Linked DNA regions of Oryctolagus cuniculus. The protein of the gene in region 1 interacts with the protein of each later gene in a pairwise test. Links are inferred from orthologs where the notes say so. Each region holds a gene or a part of one and is shown in the gene's direction. Other genes may lie near its edges. The genes, in order: SETDB2 and ARL14EP.

Region 1 (4,412 bases):
TCCACTCTGCCTGTCAAAAATTAAAAAAAAAAAAAAAAAAAAAAAAAAAAAAAAAAGATCACAGATAAAATGGTAAGTAAAGTAAACTTAATTCTCAATTTGTCAATTATTTTATCTTTTTTTTTTCTGGTATTCCTGTTACAAACTACATAATGTACTGTTGACTTGGTTAGATCATCACTCAAGACAGTATCTTGACTTTATTCTCATTCCTCTCAAAACTGCTAGTTATTCACAAAATAGCCTTTAATCAGCTTTTCAGGTCTGATAAATTTTCTCTCAAATGAAATAAGATACAGGTTTTCTACTGTAAATTCTTTTTAAAAAATTGGAATGAAAATGACATAATTCCTGCTTCTTTCCTCCCACCCTAAAAAGAAGACAGAACTTAAGGGGCTTTCCCATACAGAATCCTTCCCTTATTCTGTGAGGAGTACCCAAGCATACCATGGTACACCCCCAAAATACATACATTTCAACACAGAGAAACCAGGAAATCAAGAGGGCAAAACAATTCTTTCACTTTCCTTTTTCTGTTGTTTAGGAAAAGACCACAGCAGGCAGCAGCACTGCGGTGCAGTGGGTTAGGCCACCTATCCGGAGGCTGGTACCCCTTATCTGAGCGCAGGCTCCGCTCAGTTTCCCATCCAGCTCCTTTGCCAATGTGTCTGGGAAAGCAGCCAATGATGGCCCACTGCTAGGGCCCCTGCCATCAATGTGGGGAACCAGGATAGAGTTTCTGGCTTCCATCTGTCAGTCAACCATTTGGGAAGTGAAGATCTCTCCTTGTCTGCCTTTCAGTAAGTAAATAAATATTTAAGAAGAAAGAAAAGGAAAGGGAGGGCGACAAAGGAGGGGGAAGTGGTGATGGTTGATGGAGTAGGGAGGCGGGCGAGGGGACGAGGGAACAAAGCAGCCCAGCCCTTCCCTCGATAACAAAGAGAAGGAAGAGGTCCCTCTGGAGCCTGAGTGGTGAGGCGTCGCCCTCTCCCCTTCCACTAGCAGCTTTGTTCCTGTCTGAATCACGCAGCCCACCAGCCAGCCTCCTTTAGCTAAAGGGGGCTGATGTTCAGAATCTTTCCGCTACGAAAGTCACTGCAAAAGCCCTCCGGGCCCGAAGAATCAGCATCAATGCATCAAAGCCTCCTCTAACCCGATAACCGACACACCAAAGCCTGGGATCCCCACCCCCCACCCCCGCCATAACCACCATTCCTCGCTCTCCCTCGCCAGGGACGAGACTACAGGAAATCTATCCTTTTGGGCAAGTGAGAACTAGCTGGGTTTCCTTCAGGCCCCTCCTCTCTACCATTGCTCCCCCAGCACCCGTCTTCAAAGACAAGCCACGACAGGAGCTTTCAACGCCCAAAGAGCCCAGCCCAAGCCACACACAAGATGGCAGCCACACACCTACCGAAGGGAACAGCGGCGGCGCCACCACACCAGAGAAGCCGGCCTCCAAACTGCGGATAACCCGATTGGCCTAGCGCGAGAGCGCGAGACAAGCAGAGAGCGCTGGCGGCCAATCAGGAGACGGCGCATCAGGCACCGCCCCGGAGTCTGAGGTACGCGCGCGGCGCCTCTGATGCGTGGGTTTAGCGGGGAAGGAAACCAATGGGCTCCCTGCCCTGTGGCTGGGGACCTTGGCGTTCGACTCCTCCCATATAGCGAGCGCTTTAAGAGGGCCTGAGCTTTAGCGGTTGCGCGCTGCTACTAACTTCCCGGCTGAGGCGAGGCGACGAGACACAGTTTTGGGGTTAGTAAATGGTGAAGTACTACTTTCCCGCCAGAGGGTACCTGCGGCCTGGGGTTTCGGCGGCGTGGAGACAAAGTAGCCGAACCCGTCGGGGACTCCTAGCCTTGCCATCCCTCCCGGGAGAGCACCGCCCTCACCTCTGACTAGCGGCGAGCAGCCGAGCCCCCGCTGTGTGTGTGTGTGTGTGGCTCTCGGACGGTTCCTGCGGAGCCGTGGGAGGACGTGGGAACGCCGGGGAGCCCTCGACCCCAGCCCATGCAACCCTCCTTTTGCACCCAGGTGCAGTCCCGGGGTGCGGAGGGGTCCGCGAGAGCTCTGAATTCTCAGCCCTAACCCCGCCCCCGTTTCAGTCTCTTATCTTGCAGCGCACACCTTATTAAAAAGTGGTGATTCCTGAGCCGCTGGCTTCTGACTGCAGGCTAAAATCCAGAAGCAGAACTTGAAGGTTTAACCACTGTTTCCACAGGTAAGGTTACACCCAAACCTGAATATGTGAAAATCATTCATCCAAGATCACAGAGTTGAGGTTAGGTCCTCCGAGCGCCAGACTATAATAAGCACCTGCAGCCCAATAAGCAGTTAAGGAAGTGGGTGTGCAGGCATCTTCGGCGTGCGGAAATGAGCAGGGAGCTCTGTGTGTTAGAGTGGGTGAAGCCGAGGAGAGGGGTTCGGTGGAGCGGTGAGAACGTGGGCTCTGGAAATCGGGCTGCCCGGTTTCTTACCGTCCGTCATCTCGCTCTGACGTGCCTTAACTCCATCAGAAACCTCGTTCACCTCACAGGGTTGCTGTGCGGATTCACTAAGGACGCGGGAAGTACTTAGCAGCTGGCCTGACACGTGGTTTATTCTCAATAAACGTTCTCTCCTGTTACCAGAATTACAATAAGAAATGAGAGCATCTGGTAGGGCTGTCTTAGCCATTGCAGCCCATCGTCCTATATATAGGACGTCTCTAAGGACTTAAATTGAGCAATGCCGTTAATGGTTACTTTGATATGTCGTTGAAATATGCGCAGAGTTGACAGCTTGGGACTTACAGGGTTAGGGACCTGTTTTTACAAACAAAAGGGAACCATGTCTTGAAATGAAGCAGGCTGATTTTAATTAATTTTCTGCCAAATTGAAAAAATGAGAAGGGGGGAAAAGTGAACAAGTTTTCAAAGCCCTGTCTCTCTGAAATACTAACGCTGGTTGTCTGTGGCTGATGAGATTGTGAATGATTTCAATTCTCTTTTATATACTTTACTGTATTTCCCAAGTTTTCTTCACTAAGCATGTTTTCATAAATTCAGTGATTTTCAAAATCTCCTTTTGTGTGTACACAAGACAGATGAGAGCTTTTCAAAAATAAGGCTTTTAATGAGTGCTTAGATGAAAATCCAAGTTGATAGAACCTTTCTGAAAGGCAGTTTGGTGATATGTTCTCGATGGCTTTAAAATAGGCAATACTTTTCAAATTAAGCACACTTTTATATCCTACTTTTACCAAGTTAGACCCTTGCAGAGAAAGAGCATGATCCAGCTCCCTGAATGCCCCCTCACCCTGTCCCTCTGCCATGTGCCCCTGAGGACTTCAGGTCAGAGCCTTCTGGTTCTTTGTATCCTTACAAAGTAGAAACAGAAAAGGGTGCGTTCTATAACTTTGCTTCACTTGACAGTGTTTTCCCAGTGTATACGTGTTATTTATAGCTCAGCATCTTACTTACGGGCCATTTATTTTACCTGCTGCATACCATGATTGAACTATTCTGTTTATGTAAAATATTTCTGACACTTCTATAGGTTTTTATATTTAATTATGTTATGTGCTTTTAAGGGGACCACCCTAGGTTATTTCTAGTTTTTCACCTTACAAACAAAAAAAGGAGTTTTTGTGCTTTTATTCCTGTGCTGTTTCTCAAGGATATATATCTGAAAATGGAATTGCTTGGTTTTAAGTTGTAAGCATTATTAGTTTTAGCAGGTCATACTAAATTTGCCTCCACAGTTCAGTTTTCCCACAATCCAGATCAACACCAGATATTCTGAATTTTCACCCATCTGATGGCTGAAAATGATTTGTAAATTGTCATTCTGTAACTTAAGGCTCAAATATTTATTAATACGTATTCACCTATAATTTATATACATTTCTATAATTTTTTAAAAAGCATACTTTTTTATATAAACTTTTAATTTCAGAATAGTTTTAACTTTACAAAACAAAAGTTGTGGAGTAGTACAAAGAGTTACAACCAACTTCCCCTATTATTAATATCTTATATTAATATGATTATTGGGTCATCTTTTTCTTAATAATTTGAGAAACTATGTGTCCTGGATACTATATATCTTGTTCATTTTTTAAATCTCTTTGGTGTCTATGGTTAGTTGTGCTTCCTTTTTGTTGCTATTGTTCCAATAAACAGATCTTCAAAAAGCTAATGGAAGAGGTAATTTAAGGAAAAAATTGCATGAATTCCAAATTTTTTTGCACTAAAATAAGATCTTTCAACTCCATTTTTCCATGCCTTTTTTTTTTTTTTTTTTTAAAGATTTATTTATTTGTTAGGCAGAGGCAGAGAGAAGGAACCATCGGATGGTTCACTCTCCAAATGGCCGCAAGGGCTGGAGCTGAGCCGATCCAAAGCCAGGAGCTTCCTCTGGATTTCCCATG
Region 2 (4,237 bases), on another chromosome or scaffold:
GCAGATAGGATATTTGAACACTGCTTAACTAGTGTTGTAGATCGTGGTGTCATTGTCATTCCACTTGTTTGTACCCCTAAGTGTTTTCCCTCTGCTTTTCACTGGATATTTAAATTGGCTCAATAAGCCATATTATTCAAGAATCTTAATTTGGTCTGTGAGCCTCCTGATCCATTACCTCTACGACAATTTGCCTACTAGTTTATTTGAAGCCTTCCTGTTGCATCGAATTAGTTTCTCATTTGACAGTCCAATGCAAGTGTTAATTTACTTCCAGAATGCCCCTGCTTTAGTGCTTCTCATTTTATCCAGTTCATAAACCCGAGTTGCTATTGTGGAATTTATCACTCTACACTGATTAACTGTTTACCCTTTTCTCTCACTAGTCTATCAGCTATAAAATAAATTTTATATTTCTTGTCTCATTACTTAGTAGCAGACACTCTTGAGACACACTGCTTTTGTTTTTCTCTATTTCCTAGTTCTAAAATTGGTTGGGGAGCAGTTTGAAAGTGGTGCAGAGAACCATAGGCTCAATGGCAAAATCCAACCTTTTCGTAGGTGGACACATAGCATAACCAGCAAGCTGGGGCCTAGGACCTTATTTGCCTGTCTCTCCCTTTTCACAGGCAGGTTAAAACAATAGTTCTTGATGTTGTTTCCCTCCTGTTCCTACCTTAAAATAGTTAACCGGTCAAAAGTTCGGTCTATGGCACTTTGAGCACACAATGATTCCAAGTGAATCAAATTCACCTTAAAATGGCACCTCCAGGTGGCAGACAACACAATTACATAAAGGATAATGTCTCTTCCCTCAGAAAACTTACAAGCGTCTTCCTGGATCCTACATCTTACTCAAAGTAACAACTATTTTTATAACATAATTTTAAAAGTGCAAGTTGTGATATATTCTGAGATCTTCTATCCCTTAAATCAAGGGTCCTTCCTTGAAAGCCTTTTAACTCATTCACTCTCCTTCAGGGGTTAGGCGCATTTGGGAGCAAAAGTTTGGTAACTTTGCGAAGACAATCCCAGTCAGCTGCACGTGTATTTCGTAAGAGAAAGTCCCCGGAGATTTTCCAATTACCTAAACTCGGAGAGGAGATGGCAAACGCGAGCCAGCGTCTGAAGCAACTATTGCCTCGTCTTGAATCATTTACCAATCCCGTCACCGCGCCCTTTCCGCCTCCGGAGGCCGCCCGGCTCTGTGCCGCTCTAGGCTTCTCTCGGGCTTCTCTTTATGGTAGCGCTGAGCCTCTCTAGCCTGCACCCACCATCCTCTCAATGGTAGCACGGAAACAAGCAGCAAAGGCGGGCCGGGTGTGAACTCTGGGGACACGGGTGCTTCCCTAACCCGGCGGAGGAGAGCTCAAGCTAAGGTACCAGGGGCCTGGGGACGGCTCTGGGAAGGAGTGGGGGGCACGAGAAGGGTTCCTAGGTCGGGAGGGAGACCGGGCGGCTCAGGGAGGTGGGAGCAGAGGCCCACACGTGAGGGGGATTCCAGCTGCCGCCGAAGGCCTCCTGCTACCTCCCGGGCTCTGGACCCTACCCGCGTCTTCACACCCACTTCCTTTAGGTCAGAAATTACCCCTGTCTCTGCCGCTGCCGCTCTCAGCCCCCGGCGATTGTCGCGAAACTCCAGAAACATTTTGGACCTCGCCGGCTTTGTTCTTAAGTCCCAGTCCTCTAGGCCTAGCTGTTCCAAACAGCTGTTCGGTGGAGGCGAAGGGCAGGTGATGTATTTTTTCATCCTAGCCTCGCGAACACGGGTGCCCAGTGGACGCATCTGGTGCTCTGAATAATCTTAATGTAGCTGAACTTGGGACGTTATGTGTATAACCACTGCAGAGTTGGGGTGGCGATAGTAACAGGATCCTGGAGACCTGGTCACGTTGATTTGGGGGGGATTCTGCCTTCTTGGTGTGAGATGTTGGCAGTTTCAGAACTTGTAACCACTCAGAAGACGTTGTCTATAGAGTACCTGTTTTGTGCCAAAGAGGCCACAACTGTAGGCAGGTCCTAGGGGATTCCTTAGTCCCACAGAGCATAATATATAATAAGAAAGACTAATAGTAACAAAAATAAATAAATAAATAAGCCCGTGATGAGTGCTAGGGAAAGGGAAGTTCATGAAGTCTCACATTGGTTGGAAGTTGAAAATAACACCATATAGCCCTTGCCTTCCAAAAGCTAAGAGGAAATAGAGAAGATGTTTCACTGTACTGTGAAAGTGTTGTGCATAACCAGAAAGAAGGACCTGTAATTGTATAGAGGTGAAGCTTCACCAGATAGGTAAAGACCATGGTGGGGCCTTAAAGGATATGGTAGCATTGCCTGGCGCAGAAAACCGGAGCTTTCCCAAGCAGAGAGGGCAATAGAAGGCGTAGTGTCAGATAACTTTGTAAGTAGTGTAGTTTGACCTGGAGTATGAGGGCATCACAACAGATAAGTCAGGTGTCTAGACATAGGAAGGAGTGAGTTTTTCATCAAAATGATTACAGTTCGGTTTCACAACCGCTTAGCTTCTTTGGTGTAAGTATTGTTTGGAGATCTTGGCCACATCAAGAATAAGGAGAGCCTTCTTCAGTCCTCTTGGTCTGGAAATAGCCTCTCAGTGTTGGAATCCCTCTTCTGCACTCAGTGATATTCAGGTCTCAGAGGGGTTTGGGAGCCTGAAGAGTGTGTTATATTGTCCAGAAAATTGACGGGAAAGTACCTGGGACAAAATACTTGAAAATCAGAGGGGAGTGCATTAGTTTGAACTTAAAGTATGAGGAGCTAATTGAGAGGAATTCTTAGTATGAAATAAAATACTGGTGGTTTTTTTTTGTTTTTGATTTTTTTTTTTTTTGGAAAATATGTTCATTCTGCAAATATGTTTTTGAGTATCAGACACTGCTGGACTCTGTAAGTAACTACAGCTGCAACCTTCAGTTTCTTTTCCTGTAACTACATAGTCAAGGTTGTTGTGAAGATTAATGAGATAATGTTTGTGCTTAGCACTATACCCGGCACTTACTGTGGCACTTTAACCAGATATTTTAAATGGTACCATGTATTATATTTTGGTTTTGAATTCTGTTTACCTCCCTTATTGGCCCTGAATCTTCCCACTCAGTTGGTGCCTACTCACGTGTAGCATGGATAATTAATATATGAAGATAATCATAAAAGCTTAACAGTTAAAATTTGCATGACTTTTGTGTAAATATGAGACCATAGCCAAAGCTGCTGATTTCAGTAATTGGGGTAGATGAAATTATTTTCATTAAATAAGAAATAGTCTGGGAAAATGCTTTTTAAATTGTTAAGACCCTATACAAAAAGAAACAATAACCCTAATTTTTTTCAAAAATGGTACACAAAAGCATTTTTCCATGAAATGTTTCTAGGCATGTGAGTGGACCTAAAAAGTAAATTCTTTTTTGTATAAATTTCCTGATAATGCTTCTTGCACCTTGGGGCAGGGAAGTCCTTTGAACTTCTGCCAAACTTAGGATAATATAGACAATTGTGTTGTTATCTGTAATTGTTATCTGTAGTTGTCCATTGTGGATGTATGTCTTAGCAGTTAACATGTCAATCAAGATGCCCCTATCCCATTTTGGAGTGCCTGGATTTTATACCTACCTCTACTTCCTTACTCAAGATTCCTCCTAATGTAGGCCCTGGGAGTTAGCAGTGATGGGAGACCTGGATTTAGTTCCCAGCTCCTGGCTTTGGCCAGGCCCAGTCCTAGTCCCAGCTGCCACCTGGGAAGTAAACCAGTTAATGGGAGCATTTTTTCATACTAACTCACTGCCTTGCAAATTTACAAAAATTGTCATGCAGGTTATTCCTACAGGTGCTTCTCCAAAAATTAAACTGATTGTAGCATGTGCCAACTGCTCAAAATAATTGTAAGCTCCTGTTTACAAGAGGGATGTTTTGAAAGACTGATAGGGTAATGACTATCTTGAAGAAGAAACAATTTAACTGCATTCTCCAATGAAGAGTCCAGGTTAATAGTGGTTTAATATTAATTAGAAAATTTATGGAAGGAAGAAAATTTATATTCTTTTCAAGAATGTCCAAGCAAAAACTTACTAGGAAAATTGACCCAAAATAAGTTAATCAGTTATGTTTTCAAGAGCATCTAAATTAACTTAGAAATAGGTATGTATTGCACTAGCACAAGTTTCAGAATCTGCTAATAAATTCTTGTGAAGTAAGCAGTGACTTAGCTAAGATTAGAAAA

The links.
Region 2: the proteins of SETDB2 (region 1) and ARL14EP interact in binary tests that used the Homo sapiens proteins (3 or more experiments, as listed by UniProt). The two-hybrid records come from large-scale screens. The link is inferred for Oryctolagus cuniculus from reciprocal best matches to the Homo sapiens genes SETDB2 and ARL14EP.

The regions. Positions count from the first base shown.
Region 1 is NC_091440.1:68,750,425-68,754,836, forward strand, and holds the start of SETDB2 (SET domain, bifurcated 2), read left to right. Parts: upstream 1-1,572; 5' UTR 1,573-1,756; exon of another isoform or gene 1,757-2,106; 5' UTR 2,107-2,222; intron 2,223-4,412. UniProt on the Homo sapiens protein: Histone methyltransferase involved in left-right axis specification in early development and mitosis. Specifically trimethylates 'Lys-9' of histone H3 (H3K9me3).
Region 2 is NC_091432.1:35,796,275-35,800,511, reverse strand, and holds the start of ARL14EP (ARL14 effector protein), read left to right. Parts: upstream 1-1,230; 5' UTR 1,231-1,379; intron 1,380-4,237.